Regions from separate parts of the Mus musculus genome. Here regions 1, 2, 3, 5, 6 and 7 are each reported to be linked to region 4. The links are microRNA targets in miRTarBase. Many come from high-throughput screens and were not tested one by one. Region 4 holds a microRNA gene; each other region holds the end of a gene's coding sequence. Distances are from middle to middle.

Region 1 (4,652 bases), 65 Mb from region 4:
TTAAAAACCTGTCTTCTCATATATTGTATCTACGATCTACACAGATTAAGATAAGAGGTGGGGTCAGGGCACAGTGGTGCACTCCTTTAATCCCAGCATTTGGGAAGCAAAGGTCAGTGGATCTCTGAGTTCCAGGCCAGCCTGGTGTACACAGTGATACCCTGTCTGGGTTTTTTCATTTGTTTGATTGTTTGAGTGTGAGTGTTTTGCCTGCATGTATATATATGTGTACCATGTGTATGCCTGGTGCCTGCAGAAACCGGAAGAAGGCATTGGATCCCCTGAAACTAGAGTACAGATAATTGAGATCTGGGTGCTGGCAACCGAGCCCAGGTACTCTGCAAGAACAAAAAGTACTCTTTACTGCTGAGCCATCTCTTCAGTCCCGAAACCATGTCTAGAAGAAGAGGAAGAAGAGGAGGAGGAGGAGGAGGAGGAGGAGGAGGAGGAGGAGGAGGAGGAGGAGGAGGAAGAAGAAGAAGAAGAAGAAGAAGAAGAAGAAGAAGAAGAAGAAGAAGAAGAAGAAGAAGAAGAAAGGAGGAGGAGGAGGAAGAAGAGGAGAAGGAAGAGGGAGAGAGGGGGAGGAAGAAGCTGGGGGTGTGGTCCAGTGACAGTGTCTAACAAGTACAAAACCCTGGCTTCAATCCCTAGTACCAGAGAAACTGGACGTAGTGGCAAATTTCTATAATCCCAGCACTTGGGAAGTAAAGGCAGGAGGGTCAGAAGTTCAAGGCCACCCTCATCACTCACTGCATAGCAAGCTTCAGTCTAACTTAACGTCCATGAGATCCTGTCTCAAAATGACAAGCACTCCCCCCACACTGTTGATCATGAATGCTGTGTCTGATAGAGCTCCACCTTCCTGCCCCCATTGTTAGGTCACTTGCTTTTATTTGTAGTTGCTTTGGGGGGACTCTCCCCAAGCCAGAAAGTAAACTCTAGGGCGATCCAGACCCTTTGTGCTTTGTTGACCAGAGTGCTTGGCATAGCAGGCTCTTCATAGACACAGACTTTCCTGAGGGCTGATTGCAGGCTGTCTAATCATAGGTGAGTAGTCATGAGAACGCTGAGATTTCAGGGCACAAAGCAACCTCAAAGGACACACCCGTCATCCGCAGTGCTGCATGGCAAGGGGCAGGGGGCCCGTGAGACTCGGAGGCGAAACGATAGACCCAGGGTCACTTGGACTTCTAGAATACCGGTGCACTTTTTATTAAAGAAGAGAATAAAGCATTTGTAAATATATTTCTCTCATGTATACTTCAAAGGTGACGCTGATCGGCTGCTACAGAACTGGGGAAGTGAACAGGCCTGAATTCCTCCCCATCCCCAGATGACAGGGACACACAGAGGGTCTGGAGGTGCCCAGCCCCAAAGGACAAAAGGTTCCAAGTCGTGTGAACAGAAGGATCCAGCTGCCAACTGGCATCCCAGTGCCACCTGGAACAGCGTAGCCTCTCCAGGGATGTCAGACATGCTTGATAAGAAAGCCCCTTTACCCATTAGAAGGAGGTAAGGCATGACGGTTCCTCCTGGGCTCCCAGCACTGAGACCACAGTCACTGCCTCCTGCCGGATTGTATGGCTCCTTTGATTTCTAGAATCTTGAGAAGGGTGGCGGAAGGAACCAGAAGTCCTGAAGGACTGCTGAGGGCAAGCTGGAGCCCTGGGCATGTCTTAAGTGATGCTTGACTTTCTGAAGTTTTAGACTAAAATACTGAACCCTTGACCCAGGTGGGGCCTCAAAAGTCATCCCCATAGAGGCGGGAGGTAAAGAAGAGGCATTCTGTAGAAAGGTGGAAGAGGAGACAGTTCTTCCTCAACTTAAGAACACAACGCAACATGAGGGCCCGGCAGTGGTAGATCACACCTTTAATCCCAGCACTTGGGAGGCAGAGGCAGGAGGATCTGAGTTGGAGACCAGCCTGGTCCACAGAGTGAGTTCCAGGCCAGCCAGGGCTACACAGAGAATCCCTGTCTCAAAAAAACAAAACAAAACAAAGCAAAACAAAAAAACAGATCAAAGCCCAACCAAACAAAACAAGTAAGGGTCCTACAGTCCCTGGTGAAGGACAGGCATGAACACTTGGACCTGGGTTGGTGACACTCCTACAGGACATTCTGAAGGCTGCAGATGTGAACTGTCCCTGGGTGGCCTGAGGAAGAGAGGACTGGATGAGACATCATGGTCCCTGAGATGGGGGCAGGCGCAGAGAAAGGAATGAAAGCAAAGGTGGTTTGCAGGCTTGGGGAGGGAGGAAGGGGTGAAACTCCCTACCATCCCGGCCCCTGGAAGGCTTCATGCCTAGAGGATAACTCCAGGAATGGAACTTGGCTCTGAGAGGAAAGGGACACTACCCGTGTATGGCTGTTGTGGGGTTCTCTCTTCCTCTATTCAGACTGGCTATAGATCTGTGGTGAGCAGAAGCCCTTTGCCAGGGCTGGAGGGGATACACTCGAGCCTGGCTAAACTTCCTGCTCTGCAAGGTGGGGGCTATCTGTGGCCTGCTCAGACCTCTGGGAGTGGTACAGCTGGTGCGAAGGGAATGACAGTCATAACTGGCAAGAAGCAGTGAGTGGTCTGGGAGACTCCAGACACCAGCAATGGCTGGCTCTGAGGTCCCCTTTCAAGTGTTTCCAGTTGTGACAAGGCTTCAGGAGGCCTTGCATTGCAAATCTCTCAGAAAAAAAAAAAAAAAAAACCAAAAAACAAAAACAACTTTGGAGGGCAAAGCTAGAAAGGCTTGCAGAAGACTGGCAGCAATCTGAGGGTGAAGCCTGGGGTCCAGAAGCTGAGGGCTGGGGGAGCTGAAAAGCCCCCAGGGACAGTGGTGGAGTGGCAGTGGCGGGGTGGGGAGTGTGTTTGGCTTTTAAACTGAGCTGTGCCTTTGAGCTGAAGCAAAGTGGCCAAGGGAGGCAGAACAGGTGAGCCGAGCCACCAGCAGGGAATATGCAGTGTCCCCAGCCACCTGCTATGATATATTGCTGCATAAAGGGCTTTCTCACTTGCCAGGAGGCTGCCAGCCAGGCATGAGGGACCCCTCTGGTCGGGAGGCGGAGGGAGGCGACAGGCCTAGAGAGGGGTCACTTGCTGCTGTGTGTCTTGACTTTGGTGGCGTTGATGTCGGCCTTGGTCTTCTGGATCCTGGCAAAGATCTCTTTGAAGAGTGCCTTGTACTCCGGCTGGCTCTGCTCCAGCCGCTTATCCACAGCCTCCACGTGCTGGCTTAGGCTCTTCTCACCCGCCTTGCCCTCTCCCGGGCTCTCTTCGCCCCCCAGTAGGTCCCTCCAGGAGCTGTCCCGGGAGATGGGCCGTGAGGTCTGCACCCCCGCGTGCCGCACTCCGGCACCGTGCTGCCGGCACTTGCTCAGTAGCTCCTCGTATTTCTCCAGCAGCGCGTGGTACTGCTCATCCACCTCCCGCAGGATAGACATACCGCGCCTGCGCACACTGTTGGCATGCAACGTGAGGTTGCCAGCATGGCGGCTGGCTGGGTCTTTGGCCACTATGGCATTGAGCGCCGTGTCACTGCAGCTCTTGCGCACTGCGTGGCTGGGGGAAGCGGCAGGCGAGGAGACACCATCCTGGGCATTAGAGTCATCTCCACTGCCTGGCTGGGGGTCATCGGCCTCAGGGGCCTGAGTGAGGGGCGCCAGCAGAGCCTCAGCCAGGTGCTCCTCCCGGGCCAGCAGGTAGGTCTTGGCCTGCTTCATCTGCTGCAGCTCCAGCAACTCGGCCTCCAGCTCCTGCACGCGCAGGCGGCAGCCCTCCATCTCACACAGCTGTCGCTCCAGCTCCGTGTACTCCTGGAGCACCACCGTGTACTCACGTTCCGCTCGTTCCTTGCGCTGTCGCTCCTGGCTCACCTGGGAACGGAGCACCCCAACCAAGGTCTGCAGCCGTTCGTTTTCCTGTTCCAGCGGCCGAGGACCCAGCTCCAAAGAGGAACTGTGTAGGCGGAAGGCATCCTCACATCTGCTGGGGGCGGGGGGAGGGGGGGGAGGCAGGCAGCAGTAGGTGGTCAAACACTGGCCTCTCTCAGTCACCCTCCACCCCTCTAACTATCCCTCCACAGTGTGTCTGAGTACGATGACCTATACAGATTGATCCAGGATTTTTCCGCACTGGGAGACACAGTGAAGCGTCGGACAAGCAGGTTTTTCACTGAGCTACATCGCCAGCCTCACCTTGCTCTTTATCTCTTTCTCCTAACTAGGATGGGGATCCATTTAGGCATAGCACACATTCTGAGCGCGTGCCTGTATAAATACAGTGCTTAACTCCTCCGAGGTCAGAAGGTTTTTCTCATCTGACTAGTAGGGAAAATGGATGCAAATGGCTTGTGTTAGTAACACCAATGGCTGTCCTTAGCAAGCATCCTGAGGGCTTGGACCAAACGGTCCTCCTTCCCAGCCACTGTCCACCATGCATCTCCTCCTTCATCCCTCAGCCAGCTCTCTCGGGACTCTAAGATGACACACCAGGGCCCTTGCCTACCGGGAACTTGTGCACAGCTCCTTCAGGCAGGGGAAGGTATGGATGGTTCTCCTGCGTTCCCGTTTTTCCCGGCGAATCCGAAGTTGCTCCAGGCCTCGAAGTTGCTCCACCTGGGCCTGTAGCTCTTCGACCTGGGACTGCAGGCGCTCAATGGT
Region 2 (3,000 bases), not on the chromosome of region 4:
CCAGGCCACACCTGTATGTAACCCTAGTGCTGAGAAAGCAGAGAATAGAGGCGTCTTGGTGCTTACCAGCTGGACTAATTAGCCTAATAGGTGAGGTCTAGGTTCAGCAAAAGACCCCGACTCAAAAAACTACAATGGAGCATGGTGTGGTGGCCCCTCCTTTACTCTCAGGATTAGGAGACAGAGGCAGGAAGATCTCAAAGCTTGAGGCCAGCCTGGTTTACAGAGCAAGTTCCCAACATCCAAGGCCACTCCCTAAGGAGTGAGACCCATACCTTTAATTCCAACACTCCAGGAGGCAGGGGCAGGTGAGTTCCCTGGCCACACAGATTTAAAGATAGGATTCCAGGACAATCAAGGCTACACAAAGAAAGCTATTCTTGAAAACCACAAACAGACAAAAACATAAAAGTACAGAGATTGAAGCAGACATCAGTTAACCTCTGGACTCTCCTTGCAAGTCTGTGTGTGTGTGTGTGTGTGTGTGTGTGTGTGTGTGTGTGTGTATGGGTGCACATGCACAGAATATTGGCAAATGGATAAGAGAATCCAGCACAGATCTGTTAAATGTGTTAACTTCTTTGGGCTATCGCAACAAAATAACCCAGACAGTTTAAACAACAGAAATGAGTCCCTGTAATTAGAGTTAGAAGTCCAAAATGGAATTGTCACTGCTTTAGTGTCTGGGTCTACTCTGGTCATCACATGATCTTCCCCAGGTTCACACCTTTGTTTACATTTTCTTTAGGAGTGCATGTTCACAGGTATAGTGATGAAATGACTTAATTTTATATTCATTGCATCCCTTTTTCCTCTGAGACTTGTGCTTGTATCTGCTGAGCCACCACTCTAGCCCCTTTTGAAAGGCTCTGGGGCTGGAGAGATGGCTCAGAGGTTAAGAGCTGAGGTCACGAGTTCAATTCCCAGCAACCACAGAGTGGTTCACAACCATCTGTTAATGGGATCTGATGCCCTCCCTCGTCTGGGGTCTCTGAAGAGAGCGACAAAAACCAAAAACAGCCTTTGTCAGAGAGAGGGGGGGGGAGGAAGGAAAAAAAGAGGCCGGTTCTATCTGTGAAGTGGAATCATGGCCTGGTGATTAAGAGCATCGGGTTGCTCTTCCAAGGACCCAAGTTTGATTCCCAACACCCACATGGAAGCTAACAATAGTTGCGGAGGGATCTGATGCTCTCTTCTGGCCTCTGCAGGCACCAGACACACACGTGGTGCACATACAGACATACAGATAGATACAGGCAAAACCACCCTTACACATAAATAAAAACAGCAAAGCTTTATCTGAAAATATGCTACTCATAGCCTGTGGTCCTGAGTTTGGGGGCTCAAGTATAGGCTAATAAATACAAATTCTGGTAGAAACATAGAATTTTGTCCAGAAGTTACTAAAAAGTTTTAAGTTTTATGCATGAACCTATTCATAAATCTGCTAATGATGATCAATCTGCTTAAACGGTATTGACTTTTTTTAAATCAAGTTCACACCAGAAAAAAAAAAGTATGACAAATTTCTGTGAGAAAACCGGAGTTCCTGGGGTGGGGCCCAGGTAACAGGAAGCATAGTAACAGCTTAGCAACCTTGAGCAGAAATGATTGCCCCAAAGTCATGTTTCAGCATCCTGAGCATGTTAGAGCTGCAAATTAATGTATCCTCTCACGGGGAATCACTGGAGAAGGGGCCCAGGACATTGTTTTGAGGCCCTTCCAAAGTGAATTCTCCTGTCCAACCCCATTCCTGGTACAAGGATTCTCCAGAATTCTGGCTGGCCTTAAATTCAAGAGATCCACCTGCCTCTGCCTCAGGTGCTGGGATCAAAGGCATTGCACCACCACTGCCCAGCTCCCAAGTGAATTCTTGCACACTATAAATCAATGGTTCCCAATCTTTCTAATGCTTAGGCCCTTTAATACATTTCGCGTTGTGTTGATTTCCAATCGTACATTTCTTTGCTACTTCATAACTCGACCACTCTTCTGAATTGTAATGTAAATATCTGATATACAGGATTATATTCTGATCCCAGGTTGAGACTACTGCCTTAACTGGAGTAGGTTAAAAAGTACAAAAGGGTAGCCAGAAATGGTGGAGCACACCTTTATCACAGAACTTGGGAGGCAGAAGCAGGTAGATCGGAGTTCAAGGCCAGCCTGGTCTAAATAGGAGACTCCAGGACGGTCGGGGCGACATAGATATTCTGTCTCAATAAGGAAGGACAAAGGGATCAAGAGCTGACATTTTAATGATGCCCTTTTCCCAAACTACTGGGTAACTTAAAATAATTTGCTTGGGCCAGGCATGGTGGTGCATGTCTTTAATCCCAGCACTCGGGAGGCAGAGGCAGGCGGATTTCTGAGTTCGAGGCCAGTCTGGTCTACAAAGTGAGTTCACGGGCAGCCAGGGCTGCACAGAGAAACCCTGTCTCGAAAAAACAAAACAAAACAAACAAAAAAAAAAAACTTGCTTGACACAGGAGTTAGGGCCCACTTTTAAGTCAACTGTGCCATTCTTGAGGGCCAGACTGAAGTGTTGTTAGAAACCGTAGGAATACAACCTACATACTCCCCGAACCATCAACTGAATACTCAAGTGTTTATAAATTTTACTGTATGTGATCAAACCAACAGCATACCAAAAAAAATTTTTTATATTGGAATAGTTCTACAAATTGCTATTTGCAAAGAAAAATAAACAGGAGGTGCTCGTGAAGGCGGGTAAGAAAATACGTGTAGTGATTTAAGACTCCATCTGTGTTTCTCTTCCCTCCAGCGGAAGCGGAAAGCCAGCCAGTTTTAGCCCTTTCTTACTTAACTTGCTTAGGATTGAGGAGGCACGAATTTTCAAGAACTCTTCAACTTCTTTCACCTTCACAGCTGGAAAAGGATCAACACCAACAGTCAGGCGGGAGGGGCGCAGAGTTTTAAAGAGAAGGGCTTCTGGACCTGGAATCTGGGAAGACTGGTGCCTATGGCTGAGCAGGGGGG
Region 3 (4,652 bases), not on the chromosome of region 4:
TTCACCTAGTGCCGTGGACACAGTACCACTATCCCGTTTCGACTCTGCCCTCCGCTCTGCGTGGAGGCAGCGGCTGGAACTGGGCCTGTTTCGGTACCGCCTAGAAGATCTGCAGACCCAAATCCTCCCCGGTTCCGTGGGGTTTGTAGCTCAGCTGAATATAGAGCGAGGGATACAGAGGAGGCGCCCCCAGAATATCAGAAGTGTGAGGCAGGAGTTTGACCCGGAACAGTTTAACTTCAATAAAATTCGACCTGGAGAAGTCCTTTTCCGGATGCAAAGGGAACCTAAAGGCCCAGCCACTCCAAAGCAAGAGGACGACGTCCTTGTGGTGATCAATGTCAGCCCCCTGGAGTGGGGTCATGTGCTGCTGGTGCCTGCACCTGCTCAGGGGCTTCCCCAACGGCTGCTGCCTGGAGTGCTGCGGGTGGGGCTAGAAGCTGTCCTACTGAGCTTGCACCCAGGCTTCAGGGTCGGCTTCAACAGCCTGGGAGGCCTGGCCTCTGTGAACCATCTTCACCTGCATTGCTACTACCTGGCCCACCCACTGCCTGTGGAGGGAGCGCCAAGCACACCCCTAGACCCCAAAGGTTGTATACATCTGCTGCAGGCCCTGCCGGCTCCTGGCTTTCTCTTTTACACCAGTGGGCCAGGGCCGGATTTGGAAGTGTTAATTAGCAGGGTATGCCGAGCTACTGACTACCTGAGTGACCGTGAGATTGCACATAACTTATTTGTGACCCGGGGAGCTCCCCCCGGGCCGACATCATCTACCTCAGATCTCAGTGGGATCCGAGTCATTCTGTGGGCCCGGAAGTCCAGCTTTGGAATAAAGGAAAGTGGGGCGTTTAATGTTGCCCTCTGTGAGCTGGCTGGCCACCTCCCTGTCAAAACATCACAGGACTTCAGCAGCTTGACAGAGGCAGCTGCAGTGGCCCTCATTCAGGATTGTCTGCTGCCTGAAACTCAGGCAGGTGAGGTACGGGCAGCGCTGGTAGCCCTGATGGCTCAGGAAGAGCTGTGATTCTTCAGGAGTGTTTTCTTTGCTGACTAATTCGAGGCCCTTTCCCAAAGGCCAATGTGAATTCAGTCCATTTGTGCATTTCATGTCATGACCTTCTTCCCACCTCCCCACATAAGGACTGCAGAGAGAGCACTGAGAGAATGTGTTCTCATGAATGTTTCTGCTGCCTCTTCCCTGAGAAGCCCCAGGGTAACAAGCCCTGCCATGAAGGGCCAGATCTGACCATTTCAGGGGGAGGAGTGCTTGCTGCTAAGTCTGTTGATCAGGGTTCAACCTCCAGAACCCATAGGGTAAAGGCTGTCTTCTGACTTTAAAATGTGCACCATGATACATTCACTCACACACACACACACACACACACACACACACACACACACGTAAATATATCTCAAAACAAAATTTTTTAAAAAGTAAATATAAAAATAGTTTTTTTGTTGTTGTTTTCCTTTTTTGTTTGTTTTTCGAGACAGGGTTTCTCTGTGTAGTCCTGGCTGTCCTGGAACTCACTCTGTAGACCAGGCTGACCTCGAACTCAGGAATCTGCCTGCCTCTGCCTCCCGAGTGCTGGGATTAAAGGCGTGCGCCACCACTGCCTGGCTTCTTTTGTTTTTCAAGACAGGATTTCTCTGCCTGTACTAGAACTCTGTAGACCAGGTCCGCCTGCCTCTGCCTCCTGAGTGCTGGGATTAAAGGCCTGCACCACCACCACCCTGCTAAGAAAAAAAAACAAATTTTAAAATGGAGAGTGGGAGAATTTCACAGTCCTGGTTTGTCAGTGTTCTGAGACTTGTAGGTCAATCTAAGAAAGAGGGTCACTCCAGGGTGAAATATGGCCTTACAGGGAGATCCAGGCTCTGTGGACTCAATATCAAATGGCCACCCAAAAGCATATATTGATTGTTACACAAAAGTTGTGGGTTTTTTGGTTAAAAAAAATTCCTCACACCGAATCTAGTCTTATGTGTTTCCTGAAGGAAGACATCACTGCCCACAGCTTCAGTTCTTATTGTATACTGTTTGCAGTACCCAACAGTGCACATTCCCAGTGTGCCAGGACTGTCCAGTGACCAGGACTTTGCAAAGGTTGTAAAACTCCTTCAGAAAAACAGTTCTATAGATAGTAGAAAACAGTCACTCTTTTCTTAATGATTTCTTCAAGGTCAAAACACTTCTAGCAAACAACCATTCTGATGGCGACCCTAGAGTGCTTCTACTAGATGTCTTGCTACACAGGTTGCTCTCTGGACTTCGCCTTTGGTGTGAACCATCAGCCTCTGCTCTGATGGCTTACAGATACATCCAGCTACCTTGTCTTACCTTTGCTCTTGTCCCTTGGTGCGCCACTGACTCTTACAGGGTCTCACTGTGTAGCCCTGGCTGTCCTGAAACTCACCCTGTACACCAAACTGATCTTGAACTCAGAGATTCAGCCTGTCTCTGCCTCCTGAATGTGAGCCACTAAGCTCTGTAGCCCAAGCTACCATCAAACTCCTCAAATCAAAGAACCCTGTTTTAGTTTCCTGAATCTCTGGGACTCCAGCTTTGCCTATGGCTGGTTCATTGGCTGACTTTGCCCTCCCCCCTTGTATTTGCAACTGCTTCATCCAGGTGGTCAACTTCTCTAAAAAAAATTTTAAAAAAACCAAACTATCCTTTCTTCAAGCCCCCAATAACAGTTGACTAGTGAGTTCAAAGCCAGTCTGGGCTATATACTGAGACTACCTCAAAAATTCTTTTAAAAATGCTGGTCATAGACCACAGAGATAGCTCAGGAGGTATCAACACTGTGTGCCCTCAACACAGTGACAGGCGTTTAATCCCTAGGATCCACTCAGTTCAAGGAGAACCAACTCCTGCAAATGGGTCTGTCACTTCCCGCACATGCACCAAGGAAATGTAGCAAGTGTTCTGCTTGTTATGAGAGACAAGGTCTCACTATGTAGCTTTGACTGGCCTCCAACCCACAGAGATCCAACTGCCTCTGGCTCCTACATGCTAAGATTAAAGGCATGGGCTACCACAGCTGGCTAATATTCTTAAAGAAGTGTTGGTCCTTTTATTGCTTCCATTCAACAGAGGAAGAAATGGTTGTTGACCCAGTCACTTGCTTAGGTCAGGCAGCTAACGGCAGAGTGGAGGTTGCAGCACACGCAATGAGATGCCAGACCTGGTACAGTGTATACTGGAGTCTCTCCAGTCAGCCTTTCCTACCGTGGTGATGCTGCCTTTAACAGTTGGTGGCCCTCAGGGATCTTTCCACAACCAAGTCTCTGTAAATCCTGGAAGTTTTAAAAAGTCTCATTGTTGATTACAGATATCCTAGCATTTGGGAGGCTGGGATGGAAGACTGCTACAAAATCAAGGCCAGCTTTAGTCACAAGCCTTACCCCCTTTAAAAAAGACAAACAAACGGATGGGGAGATGGCTCATCAGTTAAGATTGATTGGCTGAGCCAGGCTCAGGAAGGAGGTATCTGTGACTTGGAGGCTATCCAGGGCTACTTGAGCAGACTCTGTTTACAAACCAAACCAAAACCAAGCCAGGCTAGGTGGCATATCGTCTTTAATCCATCACTCAGGAGGCATAGGCAGTCGGAACTCTATGAAAGTTTGAAGCCAACCTGTTTGCATGGTGAGTCCCAGGCCAGCCAGAGCTACGCAGAGAAATATCCCCTTCTCAAAACAAAAAAACAAAAACACCCACAAATATTATGACCCACGTCTTTGAGATTCCAACCGAGACTGAAGAACTGCAGCTCTCTAAGAATCCTTCAGGCCAGATAGAGACATCCAGCCTTGTAGACTGAACGGCTGCTGGATTCTTGGCCTTTCCAGTGTGAGACAGCCTCTACAGCTGTGTTCCTTTAGAGAGCCCTGACTACCATACTTGCACAAGATCAAGCCAAGCCAACCAACGTTCCGACAGAGACAGGGAACGTCTTAAAGACATGGTTACTGTTTATGAGATCTACTTATTTTTTTGTTTGGTGGATTGGTTGGTTTTTGTGAGAGAGGATTTGTTTACATATCCCTGGCTGTTCTGGAATTTTCTTTGTAAACCAGGGTAGCCTCAGACTCACAGATGTCTGCCTTCCTCTCCCTCTGAGTGCCAAAACACTCAACTTTGCCCCCCCCCCCCAGGAATTCTCATTCACTCCTAGAACTCACGATGGAGCTCAAGTTGACCTTCAACTTCTGAATTTCATGCCACCTCCATATGCTAGGGTCACAGGAGTCTAACACAGGAGTCTGTACCTGTCTTATGGGGTGATGGAGGTCAGACCCAGGGCTTTGTTTGCCTTTGGTCATCATCACCCTGTCCAATTCATCCACAACCCAACCCCATATCTTTTTTAAAAAATGTATCTTATTTATTAACTTATTGTGTGTGTGTCTAGATCACAAGATAAATTTTGTGAAGCCATTTCTCTCCTACCTTAGTGATCCCAAGGAGTCTCTAACTCAGGTCAAAGGCTTGGCTGCCTTTACCTGCTGAGCTGTCTGAAAGCCCCTCCCTTATTTTTTATGCAAATGTATTTATATGAATTGTGATGTTACTACCAGAAACCACGATCTTGAGAACGACATCAAGTCCTAAATATATGCTTTTCCTTTTTAATAACCATATC
Region 4 (4,652 bases):
CTGAGGCCTGGCTGTCTCTGCTAGGTCATGCCCGATTCGTGTTTGCTATCCTCATTCCACCAAACTAGACTGCTGGTGTATTGTGAAGTGTTTGTGAGTGGATCGAGCTGCCGCTGCTGACCAGTGAACTGAACTGCTGATTTCCTGACAACCCAGATGGGAGTGGCTCCAAAGAACCTTTCTAAACAAGTCCACTTCTCCCGAATCCTTTCTTTCCCACTACTTCTGGTGGGTGGTGGGCTACAAGGGAGGTTAAAGCATTTAAGAACCACCATTAAGGGCCGGCGAGATGGCTCAGAGGGTAAGAGCACTGATTGCTCTTCCAAAGGTCCTGAGTTCAATTCCCAGCAACCGCATGGTGGCTCACAACCATCTGTAATGGGATCTGACACTCTCTTCTGGTGTGTCTGAAGTCAGTTACAGTGTACTTATGTATAGTAATTAATCTTTAAAAAAATCATTAAAAGTAGGATTTGAAAAAAATTAAAAAGTTACTGGAAGAGTATACAAATATCATGCAGGAAGCCCTGGGCTCAATCTGCCCCCAAAAGTTTCCATTGCTACACTCTGGACTAAGGTTGCACTAAAATTCCTGGAGGGCAATCTACATGTGTTCTAGAGCAATACCAGATTCCTTATGCTCACCTCCCATCCACCCCATTGCCAAGAATGTTGGCTTAAGGTACTGTGTGCCACAGCCTATAGGCTGGAGCTGCTCAGGAGACTAAGATGGGAGGAGGATCACTTAGGCCTAGGAGATTTGAGCCAGCTTAGGCTAACAAAGTGAGATCAGGTCTCCAAAAACCCAAGTAAGGGGCCTGAGATGGCTCAGTGAGGGAGGGGCCTGCTGCACAAGCCTGAGACCCTGAGTGCAGAACCCCAGTTCTCATGGGATTGAGTGAGTGTGGCAGCCTGCATCTCTAACCCCAGTGCTGACACGGGACACTGACACACACAATCTGCAGGGTACAGCAATGTCTGTCTGGAACTTAAGGGAGAGACAGAATGAGTAAGATCCCTCTGCCCTATCTTCATTAATACAACACATGACTTTCATAGCTGGCCAGAAGTCGAGTGGTACCCAACTCCCACCTTGTTCACAGAGTGCATCTCTGGGAGCTCTCTCTCACCTTTGATGTCACTACAACTCCAAGAAGACACTTCCCTGGCAAAGGTGGGGGTAGAAGATCCCTACAGCTTTTTGGCCAGCTGGCCTTTTGACTCTGCTAACTCCAGGTTCAGTGAGACTCTGACTCAAAAAATAGGGTGGAAGACCAGGCAGGTTGGTGCACTTTTGATCTCAGCACTCTAAGGCAGAGCAAGTGGATCTCTGTGAGTCTGAGGCCAGCCTGGTCTACAGAGCTAGTTCCAGGATAGCCAGGACTCCATAAAGATACCCTGCCTTTATGTTTATAATAAGTAAACAAACAAGTAAGGTGAAGAGTGATCAAGAAGATACTGGAGGTTAGCTTTTGGCCAGAGGTCACACTACCCATACTCCCACCTTCCACATAGAAGCCAGAAACATATGATTATAATCCGGCTGGAAGGCTAAGGCAGGAAGCAGGCAGATCCCTTTGTTGTTGTTTTGTTTTGTTTTTCCAGATAGGGTTTCTCTGTGTAGCCCTGGCAGCCTTGAACCAGGCTGGCCTCGAACTCTTGAAACCCACCTGCTGCCACTGACTGGCTCAGGAGGATTCTTACTAGCCTGGGCTACAGGGTAACCTGGGCTATCCTGTCTCAAAAGGACCTAAATCAAAACAAAGATTTAAACAAAATGAGGGGTGCGATTTTATGATTGAACGTCTTCCCTCCCCCAGAACAGTGCCTGGAGCACAGTCAATGCTCCGGAAACTTCCCGTAACTGAACACACTTCACTGTCTACACCACCTCTACCCTAGGAGGCCTGGCAGGGAGGCATTGTGAGTCACAGCTGGCAGACAGGTGGGTGCCATAACCCAGAAATGGGGCCAGGCCTGGGACAGCAGCTTGGGCACCGCCACCACATCTTCCAGGTGAGGAACAACTCACAAGGAATGTCAGGAAACAGTCTACTGGGGAAGTTGTAACCTCAAAGATGGATGTGTAGGGACTTCCAGAGACTCGCTCCATGAGTTAAATCAGGGGGTGGGGGAGAACACCTGTCTCTGCCCACCTGCACAATTCTGTTGGGTTTAATGAAGGTGTGGCAAAGGAAACCCGACAGCAGTTTTCACTCCTGCCCTCGATGGCAGGAGAGGTATTTGAAAAACCACACTGTAGAATCAGCACTTTATAGGTGTTGTGAGAAGAGTTAGGAAGCAAGTAAGATGGGTTCTGGTAGTTATCTGGGCTTTAGATTCCTATCAGTAGTTGGCTAGGAACAAAAGTTAACTCTAGTGTGCAGCATTCTAGTTACTTGAAAGCTAAGTATGGGTCTAGGCTAAGGCACCTACCTGTCTGTCCTATGATGTCATTGATTACACTGGATGTTAATACACGCCTTTCCAGCTGGACCAGGAACATCTTGAGGATAGACAAAGGCTGTGCTTGTGGTATCCTCTGTGCAGGCCAGACCTGGCATGGAGCAGGTGCCAGTGCTAGAATGTGCTAGACATCTCACCAGACAGATGCTCTGCCGAGTTCACACTAACCCTGACTTTGCAGCCATCAGCAGCCTCCCTTAAAGAATGACAACCACAATGTTCAATTTCCCTGTACTGTACCGAAAAATGCCCTCTGGCTCACCTTTCTAGCCTACGTTTCTGCTATTCTCGGAACCAATCCTATTTGTCGGCTCTTTCATGCATCTGGAACATGACAGCCCTTTGCCTCACAGCTGTCAGCAAGAAAAGGCCTGTCCTACTTGCTTGGCTACTGATCTCTACTTGTGGCCCCCTACCTGTGGTCTCTTCCAGCATTTCAGAGAACGTGGTTTCTGGGCCTTTACATTATCTCTTTTTTTGTTTGTTTTTCGAGATAGGGTTTCTCTGTGTAGCCCTAGCTGTCCTGGAACTCACTTTGTAGACCAGGCTGGCCTCGAACTCAGAAATCCACCTGCTTCTGCCTCCCAAGTGCTGGGATTAAAGGCATGTGCCATCACTGCCCAGCCCTACATTATCTCTTACACACCTACATCCTAGATAAAGGGTCCCGGGGAGGTAATTTTGGTGAACACGGCTGGTGTGACTATGCAGGAATGGGCTCCCCTACTAGCCTACAACTGCAGAGTCTAGCCTGAGCAGGCCGCTCACAGGCCATTTGCTTTCCAGCAGTGCCACTGGCTCGCCTTCACCATTCCAGAACATCAGGGTTCCAGACACCCGCGCGCCCCGCGTGGCCCACACCACCTTCACCCTGGAGGCCTTTGAGTGCCTGGCGGCGAGCCAAGCGGGCCGCCTGTGGAAACAGGTGAGGCAATTCTGGGTCGACCACTTCTCGCGCCGCTTCTCGCCGCGGAGGCCACCGCTGCGCCATATCTCATCCATGTCCACCTTCTATCTGCTGGACCACCGCACGCGACAGGCCGAACTGGGGCTCAACTACGGCGAGCCGCGCACCCGACTGAGCGACGAGGCCTTCGTTTTCCGCGGCGGCCGCTGGACCCCAGAGGGGAAGCGCGCAAGCGCGCGCACGCCTCTGCCCTCCTCCACCATCCCGGCCTGGAAGCCACAAGTGCAGCCGATTAAGAGCCAGGTGCTGCTGGAAGAGAATAACTACCTGAAGCTGCAGCAAGAACTGCTCATGGACATGCTAACAGAGACTACGGCGCGCATGCAACTGCTGGAGAAGAAGGTGGACGCGGATAACAACCCTGCGGCCCCGGCGCGCTCCTGGAAGAGAAAGATGCCCAAGCAAAGGGGCGCGGGAGTACTTATAATCCAGCCGCGCGCTCTGGAGTCGCGGTGATGCAATAAAGTTGTACCTAAAGCAGGGCCGCGAGTACGCGCCTCGCCTTGCCCCGCCCCGCCCTGGTGGCCCGGGTGGTCCACTTCCCTTGAGCATCCGGGTTTTCCTTGGGTGGAGCTGCGTGTGGCAGAGATAAGTAGGAGGGGGAGTTAAAGCGCGTGAGACGCTTGGGCAGTGCGGGAGAGGGCGCTTGGATTTTTCTCCAAACCTTAGGTTCTGCTTTCCCACACTCTTTGTTTTGTTTTCTATTGGCGAAGACTGTGATTTTATCATACGTGGAATAAAGACTTCTGTTTGACCCAGCATTAAAAAAAAAAAATGTATAGGAAGGGGTGGCGCACGCCTTTAATCCAAGCACTCGGGAAGCAGAGGCAGGCAGATCTCTGGAGTTTGAAGCTAGCCTCTATAGACCTAATTCCAGGCCAGCAAAAGCAACACAGAGAAACTAAAAAAAAAAAAAAAAAAAAAAAAAGCATTGGGGCCACACATAGCATATATGTGTGAGATGGTGTGTGTGTGAGTGTGTCTCAGGAAAGTGAGACATAGCTCAGTGTTAGAGCACTTGTCTAATTTATACAAGGCCCTATGTTCAAACTCCAGGACTATAATTCATTTTAGAGATGGGGTTAGGTATACCAGACTGGAACTCATAATATCCACCTGTCTTTCTCCACTGCCATTTTTTTCTGATAAAAATGATGTGTCACCACACCCAATAGCAAATAACTACTTAAACATGTTTCTAGTATACTGGATGTTGTAG
Region 5 (4,652 bases), not on the chromosome of region 4:
TATATGATTGTTTCTTTACAATTACATATATATATGCAAAATAATAAAAAATAACAAATAGGTACAACCTTCTCCTAAGAAACCTTTTGGGGGTCGAGTGAGCAAGCAAATGAGCGAGCGAGCACACAGAGCGTGCACAGGCACGCCTTGCTGAAAGGCCTTGGGTGAGAGCACTCCTTCTCTATAGCCTCTGGACCAAGCATGTCAGGGGCATGCTCAAAAGCTCTTCAGCATGGGCTGTGGCCTCAGGAACTCCAGTTTCCATGGTGACAAAGCACTCAGGTTATTATTTATCCTCCATCTCCTCACTGCCCTACCTCCACACAGCTTTCAGCACTGGCTGCCTAGTAAAGCCAGCTTTTTGACAGGGAGTCTGACATCAGGCTACCAGGACTAAGGTCACTCAAAACCTTCATCTTAGGAAGCCAGATTCTCTGCAAACTCTGGGACAGTCCTGCTGGTTTAGATCTGGACCCTCACTTCAGTCTGAAGACTTTAGAGTGTAGGAGAGCAGGGATGATGCTGTCTCCAGAGGAAAGGATGTCACAGAAAAGAGACCTCAGCACACAACCTGCCAGTCAGCATCCTGTGCTGCCTCATCCCCCAGGGTGTTTCCTCATCACTCCTGACTGACTCTGGGAGGACCTTCAGAGTATAGCACATGCTGTGTGGAGGGACCACTGTGGGTTCCCTCAGGCCCCATCAGCTGTGCTTCTAGAATGTTCCAGCACTTGGTTCTAACCAATACTGTCTCCCACCTGTGCCCTACACAGTGCATGTGACATGGGGAATGGGGGGACAGGGCGGGGGCGGGTTCAAACCTGATCACTGGTCTCAGTGAGAAAATCCACTTCTGTGGAACGTCAGAGAAAGGGCCCACAGCCTCTATTCATTTACCTAGTGCAGATACAGATCAGATAGGATCTGTCTCTTCATAGTTGGCAACAATAACCACCAGATGACACTTTGACACAACATCAAAGCCTATGACGATTAACCCAGAAAGAAAAGAAAGGTTCTGTCACAAAGACTACGCCAACATGGAAAATAAATATAATAAAAACCCTTAAGACACAGGTCAGCTAGGCAGTGACTACACTCACGCCTTTAATCCCAGCCCTGGGGAGGCAGAGGCAGGAAAACTCTGAGTTCGAGGCCAGCCTGGTCTACAGAGTGAGTTCCAGGACAGCCAGGACCACAGAGAAACCCTGTCTCAAACAAACATTAGTTAAAAACATTAGTTAAATACTGGCTCAAAACAGCAACTGTACGCCTTGTCAGAAGGACGGCAGCAACCTTCTGTGACGACGATGGAGCTTCTGTCTGCGTTTCCAAGAAGATACCACAGGTTACAAAGCCACATGTTACAAGACTCAAAAGGTTATGCTTTTCCTCAAGTCTATTCTGCACTGGATCACAGCTTCTACAAGAAAAAATGACCTAAAATACCCTTACAGCAAGTAATGACTATCCAATAAATAAATGAAATCCACATTCCCAAATGCACGTGGTAACTCACTGCCCAAGAGGCCAGCCACAGAGAGCAAGCGCATGGGGCACCTCTCTCTCACCCAGACCATCCCTGGGCATCGCTTCCCTCTACCCACACTAGGCTCCTCAGTCCCGCGCTCTCTCTTTCTTGCTCACAGAGTGTGTAACTCCTGGCTGCATCAAGGCACTGCTTGGCTTGCATCCCTGCATAGTGCTACATTCCAGCATGGTGGGGTACACTGAAAGCAGGCTCCATGCTGAGGAGAACATCTCTGATTTGCTAACACAAAGGAGGTTTCTGTTTGACCTCACTATATACCTGGCATAAGAAATATATTTCAAAAAGAAAAGAACCTTTTTCTTAGTAACAACATCACCAGAAAGAGTCAGAAACCTAGACAAATGAATTTGCTAATAAAGATCCTTAAGGATGACCTAAAACTGCTTTAGAGAATGGAACTTAAAATCCACTATAGATCACACACCTCCATGCTCCCAAACTATCCAGCTAGAAGGGAAAACATCACATTTCCTTCAGCACTGCTGTTACAGCAATGAAACAGTGTAGGATGGAAGAGAGGGCCGACAGATAGACAACATCAGCCTTCATCTCAACAATAACACAAGTTCAACTGTCTATCATCAGTGTGGAACCGTATTTTGCTGGGTATCTGGTTCCCCACAGTAGGGTGAGCATGGTTTCACAGTTAGTTCCACAGAGCCAGGCCCATACCTCAGCATCCGCAACTGCCACCTGCGGCTCAGGAGACAGTGGCTCTCCACGCTCCACCACTTCCTGTACCCATCCAGACAAGGAGATGGGCAGGAAGCAACTGTTCTAGACTACGGGGACACATAACAACTGCTCCCTCTGGGGACCCTGCAGAGACTGCCACTCGTGCCTTTCCTGATGCCAACCTGCTCTCAGGAGACAGGTGAGCAGCACATTTGATCCCTAGGAATGAGTGACAGCATCCTACCCAAGCCAACCAGCCCCTCGGCCTGCTTCTGTTTTCACCACATGCACACTGCAGCAAGCTCCTCTAAGTAGCAGATCATGACATTTCCAAAGTGACAGTAACCAGGCACAGAGTGTATCAGTGGCACCAGCCATGTTCTAGGTGAGAGGATGATAATGAAAGAAGCAAGGTAACAACCACACAGCCATCTCACATCACAAAGGTAACAACCACACAGCCATCTCACATCACCAAGGTAACAACCACACAGCCATCTCACATCACCAAGGTAACAAACACACAGCCATCTCACATCACCAAGGTAACAACCACACAGCCATCTCACATCACCAAGGTAACAACCACACAGCCATCTCACATCACCAAGGTAACAACCACACAGCCATCTCACATCATAAGGGGAAGACAGGGGTATGGGGTGCAGCTTAATAACTGAGATGTGTTAAATACACTGTACTGACCTCTTTCTCATTGCCAGGTCAAGTCCTCTATATTAGACACAAGAAATAATAGATTGTCTAGGAAAGCTGTAAGTTCTTTGAACACAAAGATAAAGAGATTACTCAAGCTTAAAATAAAAAGGGGTCAAAAGCATTTAACTTGTAATTCGCTTAATTATCAAAATAATGGCTTCTAAAACAAGCAGTTACTGACACAGAGGAAAGCCTCAAATACCAGTTGGAAATAATAATACTCCACTAAGACCTACAGTACTTTTAAAAATATTACTAACAATTAACACAAAATATCCTGTTTGAAGAAACCAACCGACCTAAGCACACTGAGTAGGTGTGGCTGGCCCTGCCTACCTGCTGCACTGTGTAAGCTGGGGCAGGCACTAGTGGCTTCTGACATTAAAAACAAACACGGAGCACAGCACTTCCACAGACGCACAGCTTCAGAGACATCCAGTGAGGGGGTTAGAGGTATCAGTCGGGTCAGGGTATGAGTTGGCTTTCACAAGTCAAAATGCAGCAAGCAGCTGCAGGTCCAAGCTTCACTGAGAAGAGAAATAACACTTGTCCCACTGAAGAGAAACTTCACTGTAGAGGACAGAAGTAATAAAGAGAGCCTTCAAAAGAATCCTAGGTTAAAAGAGAAACAAGACAATTAGACATGCTTTAAAACTTTCTTTTTTTTAATACCCACCAAAAGCCACAAAATCTACACTTAGTGTTCTCTCCAAATTTACGATGAAATAATTTGAGAGTGTGACTCTACCAAGTAAACATTGTCTGCGCCGCTTGTCTAACCCAGTTTGTTATGTCTTCTTACTGACTGTAACAGTCACCACTTAGTAGGGCGTGTGTGGTGATGGCTATTGCCCCAGGCCCTTGTGTCCATTTTCTCATTTGTCCTCACAGCTTCCCACCGCAGGGGTAGTACGCTGTCGTTTCACAGATGTGGAATCTGCAGCCCACAGAAACTCACCTGCCCCATCAGCTACTGCACACACACACACACACACACACACACACACACACACACTACAATAGAGAACTGACCCACGTCTAATGAGTACGGAGGTCCTGCTATTAGCAGCACTACCCTTTACTAAAACCAAAAACAGCAAGCTGCTGACACTACTGAGACAAGAGAAAGCAAAAGGGTTGTAGGTGGGTGATGTGCAAGGGTGTGTGTTGGCGGATGGGTGGGTGTGCAAAGCTGTGTGTTGGCGGCACTAGGAACTGAACCCAGGGCACTGCATGTGGTAGGCAAGCACTGCACCACTGATGTGATTGTCCCCTAGATTGTTTCTGTTGACACGAGTTCAACAGAAACTTATTCTGGCTGGCTGGGTTAGCCAGACAAGGCTTCAGAGAGGAGAGGTTCACCTAGACTTTAAAGAATTAGGAAAGCTGGGCGTGGTGGTGCACGCCTTTAATCCCAGCACTCAGGAGGCAGAGGCAGGTGGATTTCTGAGTTCGAGGCCAACCTGGTCTACAGAGTGAGTTCCAGGACAGCCAGAGCTACACAGAGAAACCCTGTCTCAAAAAACAAAAAACAAAAAAACAAACAAACAAACAAAAAAAAAAACAAAAAAGAAAGAAAAAAGAATTAGGAAGATTTGATTGCTGAAAATAATGCCCCTTGATGAAGGGGTGCTCCATCAATGTGTTCCCATCTGGGGTGAGTTTGCCCCTGAATCCTCAAGGGATGCTGGTACATCTGGAGGAACTC
Region 6 (4,652 bases), not on the chromosome of region 4:
CTGTGTTTCAGGCTATACTGCCCTGGTGGCACATACTTCAAGTTGCAGCTACTTGGGAGGTGGAAGCAGGGTTGCTCAAAACTAGTCAGGGCAAAACACACACATTCAAAAGACTATATTTGTGCTTTAGGCATGGATTTTATTTATCTGAAATACTATACATGACTAACCTCAGAAAGTAGAAGTTATTAAGTCTCACACACACATACACACACAGCTTGTGTCTTTACTAGTTTAAGAGCAGAGTTACAGCCAGGTGGTGGCGGTGCACGCCTTTAATCCCAGCACTTGGGAGGCAGAGGCAGAGGCAGGTGGATTTCTGAGTTCAAGGTCAGGTTGGTCTACAGAGTGAGTTCCAGGACAGTCAGGGCTACACAGAGAAACCCTGTCTCGAAAAAACAAACAAAACAAAACAACAACAACAAAGAGCAGGGTTACTGTTGTATATACATTTGGGGCCAATCTGATGAGAATACCCTCCAGCCCAAGGAATTGATACAATTTCTTAAAACAAAAACCAAACCAAAAATGAGCAGATGAGGCGAAGGATATGGCTCAGTCAGTGGAATGCTTGCCTGGCAGACACAAGACCCCACATAAGACAGAGTGCCAAGGTGCAGACCTAGAACGGCAGTAGTTAGGAGGTAGAGACAGGAGGATCAAGATCTGATCAAGGTCCCCAGTTACATGTTTGAAGCTGGTCTGGGATATATGAGCCCCAGTCTCAAAAACAAAAACCAGATGCTAAAAAATGCCTTTCCTCCTGCTGTGAACATGCCAGAACCCAGAATGCACTATGGTGCTGTTCAAATACTCCCAAATGGCCTTTATTTCACCAAACTGTTTCTACTAAAATTATTTTATGTCACTTTCACTGTGATGCTAATTCTTTCAAAAATAACTGGCAAATTCATAAATAATCCTTTGTACGTTACTCTCCTGCCTCAAGGCTGCCCAGGATAACAGCATAAGCAGCTTACACTGGCCTGGGGAATTCCCACTGCTTGTGTTAACCTCGGCTTATCCTCACACTGGGTACACATACCACGGGGCTCCTGCAACAGTCTGCTGACCTGGGCAGAAGTGTTACTGACAGTCCAGTCTTTGAAGCCCGCCTCCACAAACAGCATCTACTTCCCCTGAGAAGGACATGTAAAGAGACTTTTAGGAAATGAAAAACAGGATGCCTCATGTCCATCTGTGAGTGATTCCTGGTTCTTATTCCTTTAAGAAATTACAAGCACAGTGACTTCCTGTGGTTTTACTGTCTTGACTGCTGTTGGTCAGAACTCACTGGTTTCTCTGGGCTAGGTCAAGGTATCCCCATGTCTAAGTTCTTTTGTGGGTACTCTGGTGGAAAGAGATGCTGCATGGCTTCTGTACGTTGCCTGTGATCTTGGCTTGTGGCCTTTTCCTTCCCAAGTGTCTTCCACACTAAATCTTCTGCTACGTATCAGTTAGGGAACTGTGAAGAAAAGAACCTGCTCAGGTTATCAAGGATCTGATTTCAAATCTATCTGATAGCCAGTGGTGGCTGGAAGCCAGGCAGCAGTGATGTATACCTTTAATCCTAGCACTCCAGGAGGCAGACAGGTGAATCGCTGTGACTTTTAAGGCTAGCATGGTATGGTCTTCAGGGCTACACAAAGAAACCCTGTCTCAAAAAAACAACAACAACAATAATAATAGCAGCATGTGATTAGTGACTTTAATTTCCCTTCTGCTGGGTATGTGTGTGTCCTGCCTACCATAACCCAAGTAGTACTAAGAGCAGGGACACCTGTGTCTGAGAGAGCCTTTTCACAGGTTAGTCTGGTTGTACATGTAGCCTCAGGGCAGGGCCTCATGGGCCCAAGCAGATATAGCACAGAAATCAGCTCAAGCACAAGTGTTAAGAATCATGAGATTTTGGTGACTGTTGGACAAGGATATTGCTTAAGTGCCACCAAGCTGGTAAGAAATGCCTGAGAGAATCAGTCAAGTTCAAGGTTGTGTTAGATCACTGACCCTACCTCCAGTGCCTTGGAGATAGACTACAGACTTCAATTCTTAGAGAAAGGTGGGCTAGTGGAGCACCTAAGTCAACGCTGAGGTACCAAGCTACAAAATCAAGTCTTTCAGCACTGAGGTATGTGTAACAGCTAAGAAAAAGATCTGGCTCTCACACTTTGATGACAGCTTCCAAGGCATATGTGACATAAGATAGAAAACCATCTACCACCCGTAAGATTGCCATGTGCAAGTTTTTGATGAGCTGAGACACTTAGGCTGGAATGTGACTTGTGGGGAACACAAGCTATTGGAGTTATGCAGATGGTTCCCAGAGTTCACCAAGGCCGAGGGAGATTTGTCTGGAAGTTGACTCAAATGCAGAATTCTGCCATTGACGTGACTGGAAGTGGTCTTTTCTGAATCTTGAGGCTGAATTGATGAGAAGCCAAGTTCATTCCAGGAAAGTGGTGTAAACAGGTCTTTGCCATACATATGGCCTATGCCCACAGGACAGGAACAAGGTAGGGGGCACAGCAACACCTCTGCTGCCCATTTGGCAGTACTGCACACCTCACCCTCTCCCTGGCTGGCCTGAGGGGCATCTCCTTACCAAGGGGGCTGATACAGGAAAAACTACAAAGCTGAATGACGCCATCACAGGTTCCCTGAGGGACTGCCGGAAGTTTCTTTAGTTGTAGAGAGGGTTTTCTCCCATCTCTGGAATGCTGGGAATTGTCTCTCATCTTCTTAGCAGCATGAAGGCATCAACACTGATGACGGTGCTGGAAGGATGAATGAATGTCCTGGCTGAGTGCAGCATCAAACACCTCCATCCCCACCCAGTGTTTCTGCCTGTGAGAAATCAGGCCAAAACAGGAAAGTAACCTTCTCTGAACCTTGATACCAGACTGCCAATAGCTGGTGGGAGAGAAAATCATGTCACATGGGTCTCTGTATCAGGAGCTCCATGAAGATTGCTGTGATTTGGGAGGGAGGGGTGGGAGGGTATGGTGCCTGCAGCAAAGTATCTTTTTCTCCACCCCTTATATGTTTGATTTCATCACACAAGTGTCCAAGGTCTTCTGTCTAGTGAACACAAACACAAAACATGCTGCTGAGAATCTGTCATGGGTCCATACGCAGGATTACCTACTGTCCAAAATGCCTTGAGATCCAGCCAATACAGCAGCATCAAATCCAAGCACAGCAGTCAGATGGAAGGAGGACGGCTGGAAAGAAGCCAGCTCAGAGGTACTGGCCACGTCTGCCTGCTGCACCACACCTGCCTCCTGATAAGGGAGAAGGAAAACAAACTTGCAAGTCATGGCATATCACTTGCTTTCTGCACTGATAATTGAGTGACTCTGGGTGATGTACTCTTGATGGCACTTAACGGAAGGTGACCCTAGGCCGTTTAATTACTTTATTTATCCCTGAACTTGATAGAGATGAGAACAGCACCCATTCCATAATTAGTGTAACAATGCAAGGAAAATAGTCAGGACCCTCCACGTGCCAACAACTGCTAGCTACTATTAAAATACTGTCACCCGGAGGTGGAATGTTTAACATAGAAAATAGGAGGCTTTAGCAATTCCTATTGGTCCTCAATAACTGCAGGTGACTATTTCAAGCCAACTTGACGGATGCAACTGATCAAGAAATGCAGTTTGAAGAACAAGACAATAATATTTAATCTTGCAACTTGATAGACTTGGAGGCATTCCGGTCAATGTAGAAGACCTTTCGGGCCTCAGAGTTAAAGCCCAGGCCAGCCCCGTGGCTGTACTTCCAGCTCATGGCCCGGTCATAGTCCTGCTGCAGACTCTGCTGGAGCATTTCTGAAGACTTTTTGTCCAGGGCCATGTTGGACCTGATAGTCATGCTGGGAGGGCGGCTGAATGACGGGGACAGATGCTTAAAGCCACCCATAAGCTTCAGGAATTTTAGCTTCTGTTCTTCATTTTCAAAGCCGGCAGTATCCCACTGGCCAAACTGGGTTCCCTGTGTGGAAAGTAAAAGGCTGTCATTGCCCTTGAAGACCAAAGCTTCCCTCACTCTCAGCCACGCAATGAACTGTCTCATTCAATATGGCTACTCATTCCCACATTACAGGTGAGGAAATGAGGCCTAGAGCTTAATGGGGGTGATAATATTCAGATGATTCCCAACTCGGGAATGACCAGCCTGAGAGCCCATCATTGGCTTCTAACAAATATCACTGCACACCAAGCTAATCTGTGCTCTACCTTCTCCCAACACATGGTGATAGCAAGAACACTTCAAGATCTCTATTGATTTTTCTGCTGCATGTGCTTGGCTGGCCACGAGCTTCCAGCGATCCTCCTATATAGCCTGTGTTGTATACTGATCCTCTGACTTTAAGCAGTTCATTCTGAGAGGGGAGCTTATTAAGACCGAGGAAGTAAACAACTCACTAAGTCTTAGGCAATCCTGAAACTTGGCAGGTTCATAAGGCCCCTCCCTCCTCAAGGCTACATAAGCAGTAAGGACTGCATGTCTATTGAACTGCCTGCAAGTCATATAGAATGCTCCAGTGCTCTAGCCTTCATGAGATGTCCTTCATGCTAGGGTAGACTTGGTAATGCAGCTGCCTTTCAGCTATCACGCTCTTCTAAGTAACCCATACAGGATCCTGC
Region 7 (4,652 bases), not on the chromosome of region 4:
AAGCGCCGTTTTGCCATTGGCTCTCAGGTGTCTGAACACAGCATTGTCCAGGACTTCACCAAACAGGTGAGTGAGCCTTTCTAACCCTGGGTCTACAAGCCAGGCCCAGGATACAGAGGATGTCCTGCTGGTTCTCTTAGTCTGGTTCCCACTCAGCCATCACATACAGTGTTCTGTGCTCAGCAGAGGGGTGCTGGGATGGGGATGTTTGAGCCACTGTTCCTTTTGTAGGAACTGCTACAGTCTACAGTTGGGGTTGGCTATTTATAGGGAAAGGAGGAAGACAGGTCTGTAGAAACCAATACCCAATTTTCCCATCTCTTAGGTTTTCCCTTGTTTAGATCCTTACATGGTAGGGAGGACCAGAAACAGATGAGTTAGCCTTGCAGCCCATTGGGAAGAGGGCTACTGATAACATGCACAGGAGGTACTGTTTGGGGTACCAGTAGGAGCCTGTGCCCTTTAAAATCATGAGGATAGCCCTGGTTTCTGTTTCTCGTTCCCTTCCCTGTGTATCCTCTCCGTTTGCTCCTGGAAGTAAATTATACAGTAACAGATACTGGCCCTCTATAAGTGAAGAGACTAGTCTTGCCTGAGGCTGGGGCTGGAGAAAGCTTGACTTCTAGGGTCACAGGGACTTAAGTCCTAGCTCACTTAATTGCTATATGACCCAAACAAGTGACAGCCTGTGCCTATTTCTTCCTCTGTAAAATGAGATTATTCCTAATACTAGGTGCATAAAGTCGATATATGTACTTACCTAGTACACAAGAGGCATCATCACATACACACTTTTCTGAAGTCAAGGGAGAATGGAGGTGGATATTTTTTGTCTGTTTAAAATTGTCTATGATCCGGTGATGCATCAGGTCCCTTGGGTCATAATGATATACCTGTGCATCTGTCTTGTGCTCCCTCCTACAGAAATATCCAGAGCACGCTATCCGAAAGGTGCTGCAGCTCATGCTACGCAGGGGTGAGATCCAACACCGTATGCAGCGCAAGGTGCTCTATCGCCTCAAGTGAGCCCATTGCCCATCAACCCTCAAGCCTGAAATGCTGCCACCACCCTATCTCCCAGTCAGTGCTCCAAACCTCCTTTTGCCCTGCCTCTCCACCTCAGACTGCAGTCTGCAGCACATCTGCAGCCCCTGGAAATGTACTTTGGTCTGTTGGCCTCATACTGTGTTTGAGTGTCTGAGGACTCTCTGCTCTGGGTGTCTATCCCCTGTCATGCCTTCTCAACAAGATGAGTCTGGAGCAGGAACAGGCCCTGGAATGTAGATGGGTCTGTATATTGGCTCCCGGGCCACTCACTGCCAAGCTTCTTTGTATGTACAGAGGTAATAAAGCAATTGAGTCCCTGGCTGCTAAGGTCAGTGGACCCAGTATGATAGTAGTGCTGTGTGAATACAAGGTTGACTCTTTCAGCTTTCTTCAGCAGCACCTAATGTGAGAACTGGATCATTCATTGAGTTGTCTGCCTCAGTTTCCTAATCTGCAAACAAATTTGATGAAGCTGAGCTCAGTGAGTGAGTGGCTGTCAGTGAAAACCCAAGTAGACTCCAATGTAGAATGTCTCCAGGGCTTTATTTATAGCAAGTGGGCCTCAGTGGTGTCTGGGGAAGGAACCAGACGTCAGGGTTTATCAGTTAAGGAGCTATGAGTACCTGAGCAAGCTTCAGCACAGTAGGAGGTATTAGTGACAACATTGTTAAAAGAAGACACCCAACACCTCGTATTACCAAAATGCCGAAAATTATGATTTTAGAAATCTATAATTTATAAAATTAAGGAAAAGTCAGTGAAATATTTAAGTATTTGTTATGTAAAGTACATTTATAAATGGGAAGCTAGTGCTGAAAACACTGCAGTCACCAACAGTAAAGTTACTGTAGGAGGAAGGCTTGAGAGAACAGGAAGTACATACACAGGCCTTTCTCGTAGATGGCGTCCTGTGCTGAAATGGCTGTTGCTTGAGGTGTTTGCTTTTTTTTTTTTTTTTTTTTAGTTTTTTGAGACAGGGTTTCTCTGTGTAGCCCTGGCTGCCTGGAACTCACTTTGTAGACCAGGCTGGCCTCGAACTCAGAAATCCGCCTGCCTCTGCCTTCTGAGTACTGGGATTAAAAGTGTGGGCCACCACGCCTGGCTGAAGTGTTTGCTTCTTACTCCCTCCTGGAAATGTGCTTGCTCCTGACGAATGGCCATAGCCATTTCTTTTTGATTGGTCTGCAAACTTGGAACAGAGTGTGCTTGTCTGGAAGGGCAGGCTTGGTAAGAACATTTCATCCTACTTGAGGCCTTGAGGATGCATGGACATGCGGGCCTGCAGGAGTGCTTAGTTGAGTGGAAGATGCCGATATGATACCTCTTTCTTGGTAGGCCCTGGCTGGCAGGCACAGTGTTAAGGGAGACAAGCTTGGCTTGCAGGGAAGTGGGCAGTGCTCGGTGTGCCACAGCACGAGGAAAAATGCCCAGGAAAATATCCAGGAATTAAGGATTGGTTGGTTTCTGAATCTGAACTGGATCCTAACCTTTAATTCTACGAGACACTGGCCTGAGCTGCTGGGGCTAAGTTACTGTAGCCCTGCAAGTATGGCCAAGATGGTCTTAGGACACACTTTCCCCTCTTTTCCTCACCTTCCCATGAGTGTCTCAGATAAGTAGGATTTGAAGCAGTGCTCTGAGGACTCAGCCCTGCTGCTTGCTCTGCTTTCATTGCTTCCCCAGACAGCAACTTGATTTTCACTTTTTTTTTTGCCTTGGCATGCTTGGGCGTCCTGGTGATTCCTGGTCTGGTCCCTTGCCCAAGGTATAGATAGACATTTCACATCCCCTGGTTGGTCTTTCAGCTTAAATATTATTTGTCCTTAGACATATATTCGTGTCACGCAGTGACAGGATTGGTACGGGCCCAAATGGGCTGCAATGGCCTGTTATGTTAGCACCTGAGCTCTGCTGCATCTACCATCACATATTGTCTGACCCAGACTGCACGTGGGAGAGGATTCTACTGAAATGCATGAGGTGTGGAGGATTTCTGGCAAAATTCTAAGCAACTGTTAATGACAAGCTGTTGGGAATCATACACACTGTCACCTTAGCCACCATAGAAGTCATACGTACAGTGAAGATTACAGGCCAGACATGGAAGTTAGCATCCCTGTAACTCCCATATTTAGGAGATGGAAGCAGGAGGATCAGGAGTTCAAGGTTGTCCTCAGTTTCAAAGTGTTCAAGGCTACAACCTGGGCTATAAGAGATTGGTCCTGTTTCAAAAACAATCTACATAAAAATGTGTTAGTGAAAATACTATTTTAGAGGAACATTTACAAGTACCAGAATAAGGCCAATTCTCTTTTTTTGCGGGTGTGTGTGTGTGTGTGTGTGTGTGTGTGTGTGTGTTTCGAGACAGGGTTTTCGTATAGCCCCGGCTGTCCTGGAACTCACTCTGTAGACCAGGCTGGCCTCGAACTCAGAAATCTCCCTGCCTCTGCCTCCCGAGTGCTGGGATTAAAGGCATGCGCCACCACCGCCCAGCCCAATTCTCTTATTTTTAAACTATTTTTTATTTTTATCTTATGCATCTTGGTGTTTTGCCTGCATGTATGTCTGTATGAAGGTGTTAGATCTTTGATTTGCAGGTGTTTGTGAACTCTATGGGTGCTGAGAATTGAACCTGGGTCCCCAGGAAGAGAAGCCAGTGCTTTTAGATGCGGAGCCATCTACCCCATCCCAAAGAAACAACAAAAACAAGGAATTTCAGAAATGCAAAAGATGAGTTTTCTCAGACTGTTGAGGTGGAAGTGGCAGAAGATGCACACTTCACAGGGTAACTTTGTGGTTTTAGATGTAAGTTTTTCACTTCTATTAAGTATGTTATGGTTTTAGATGTAAATCTTTCATATTGTGCGTGGGTGTGTATGTGTTGGTCTTAAATAGCATGCCACATGGGTGGAGCTTAGGAGGCAACTGCATAGAGTCTGTTCTCTCCTTGCATGTTTACATGGGCTCTTGGGAAAACTCAGGTCATCCGATGTGTGTGACAAGCACCTTTACCTGCTGAGGCATACAGATCCGTGTGCTTAAACATGAACACTGGTAGGTTGGTATTTATGAGCCAAGGGTTGCAGCTCAGTGGTTGACTGCTTTCCTGGCATGTGTGAGGCCAGGTTTTCAATCCTGGCACCACAGGAACATGGTATGGTTCAAAGGGTAGTTTTCAGTTAAATCAGTGAGGGTTTTTTCTTCTACTTGAAAGATGAGGCGGTAAGGTAAAGTTCTGGTGTAAGTACATGGGCCCAAACCCAACTGGCCTGGGTTCAGATTGTAACTCAGCTACTTACTGTACCTATCCCAGCCTTAATTTCCTATTAAGAAATAGGGGTGCTGGGTTTGGTGGTGCACGCCTTAAACACCAGCTCTAGGGAGGCAGGCAGGTGGATCTCTTAGGTTTAAGTCTAGCCTGATCTATAGAGCAAGTTCCAGGATGAGAGCTCACAGAAACCCTGTCTTGAATAAAAAGAAAAGCGGGGGGGGGGGGGGAGAAAAAGATGTGAGCACCGATTTAAGGATGAGGCAGGCTCTTCTAGGGACTGAGCTGCCTTGACAGCAAATTTTGGAATTATTAGGAAACTAAGTTCCAAGCAATA

Evidence for each region. Region 4 holds the annotated microRNA mmu-miR-804 (UGUGAGUUGUUCCUCACCUGGA, at 2,012-2,033, opposite strand). A microRNA usually pairs through its seed, bases 2 to 8, with sites in the 3' UTR of a target mRNA and lowers its output. Matches are read on the target gene's strand: a 7mer-m8 pairs with bases 2 to 8, a 7mer-A1 pairs with bases 2 to 7 and ends in A, and an 8mer does both.
Region 1: the mRNA of Cdr2l is a reported target of mmu-miR-804. Seed matches in the 3' UTR shown: 7mer-m8 at 1,937-1,943.
Region 2: miRTarBase lists Ooep as a target of mmu-miR-804. Seed matches in the 3' UTR shown: 7mer-m8 at 2,398-2,404.
Region 3: the mRNA of Gdpgp1 is a reported target of mmu-miR-804. Seed matches in the 3' UTR shown: 7mer-A1 at 1,360-1,366, 7mer-m8 at 1,525-1,531 and 7mer-m8 at 2,411-2,417.
Region 5: the mRNA of Arhgap19 is a reported target of mmu-miR-804. Seed matches in the 3' UTR shown: 7mer-m8 at 1,174-1,180.
Region 6: the mRNA of Knop1 is a reported target of mmu-miR-804. Seed matches in the 3' UTR shown: 7mer-A1 at 1,200-1,206 and 7mer-m8 at 349-355.
Region 7: the mRNA of Mcm5 is a reported target of mmu-miR-804. Seed matches in the 3' UTR shown: 7mer-m8 at 2,054-2,060.

Annotation. Positions count from the first base shown.
Region 1 is chr11:115,392,669-115,397,320 of GRCm38, reverse strand. Cdr2l (cerebellar degeneration-related protein 2-like) reads right to left here. Exons shown (of 5, transcript NM_001080929.1): 4 at 4,498-4,652; 5 at 1,189-3,975. The coding sequence ends at 3,084. Among named protein-coding and RNA genes, the nearest start is that of Gm32013, 6.3 kb to the left of the region's middle.
Region 2 is chr9:78,374,803-78,377,802 of GRCm38, forward strand. It overlaps Ooep (oocyte expressed protein), which reads right to left. Exons shown (of 3, transcript NM_026480.3): 3 at 2,101-2,889. The coding sequence ends at 2,753. Among named protein-coding and RNA genes, the nearest start is that of Ooep, 2.3 kb to the right of the region's middle. RefSeq lists cis regulatory regions at 1-1,677, 1-1,677 and an enhancer at 1-608.
Region 3 is chr7:80,238,360-80,243,011 of GRCm38, forward strand. It overlaps Gdpgp1 (GDP-D-glucose phosphorylase 1), which reads left to right. Exons shown (of 2, transcript NM_178752.3): 2 at 1-3,061. The coding sequence ends at 1,024. Among named protein-coding and RNA genes, the nearest start is that of Ttll13, 5.7 kb to the right of the region's middle.
Region 4 is chr11:50,355,788-50,360,439 of GRCm38, forward strand. Mir804 (microRNA 804) reads right to left here and starts at 2,092; the gene lies at 1,998-2,092. Cby3 (chibby family member 3) reads left to right here and starts at 1,974. Exons shown (of 2, transcript NM_029691.1): 1 at 1,974-2,016; 2 at 3,253-3,915. The coding sequence starts at 3,467. The coding sequence ends at 3,889.
Region 5 is chr19:41,766,641-41,771,292 of GRCm38, forward strand. It overlaps Arhgap19 (Rho GTPase activating protein 19), which reads right to left. Exons shown (of 12, transcript NM_027667.3): 12 at 1-3,556. The coding sequence ends at 3,546. Among named protein-coding and RNA genes, the nearest start is that of Gm19424, 22 kb to the left of the region's middle.
Region 6 is chr7:118,842,099-118,846,750 of GRCm38, forward strand. Knop1 (lysine rich nucleolar protein 1) reads right to left here. Exons shown (of 5, transcript NM_023197.3): 5 at 119-3,996. The coding sequence ends at 3,685. Among named protein-coding and RNA genes, the nearest start is that of Iqck, 11 kb to the right of the region's middle.
Region 7 is chr8:75,126,299-75,130,950 of GRCm38, forward strand. Mcm5 (minichromosome maintenance complex component 5) reads left to right here. Exons shown (of 17, transcript NM_008566.3): 16 at 1-66; 17 at 925-2,141. The coding sequence ends at 1,026. Among named protein-coding and RNA genes, the nearest start is that of Mcm5, 19 kb to the left of the region's middle.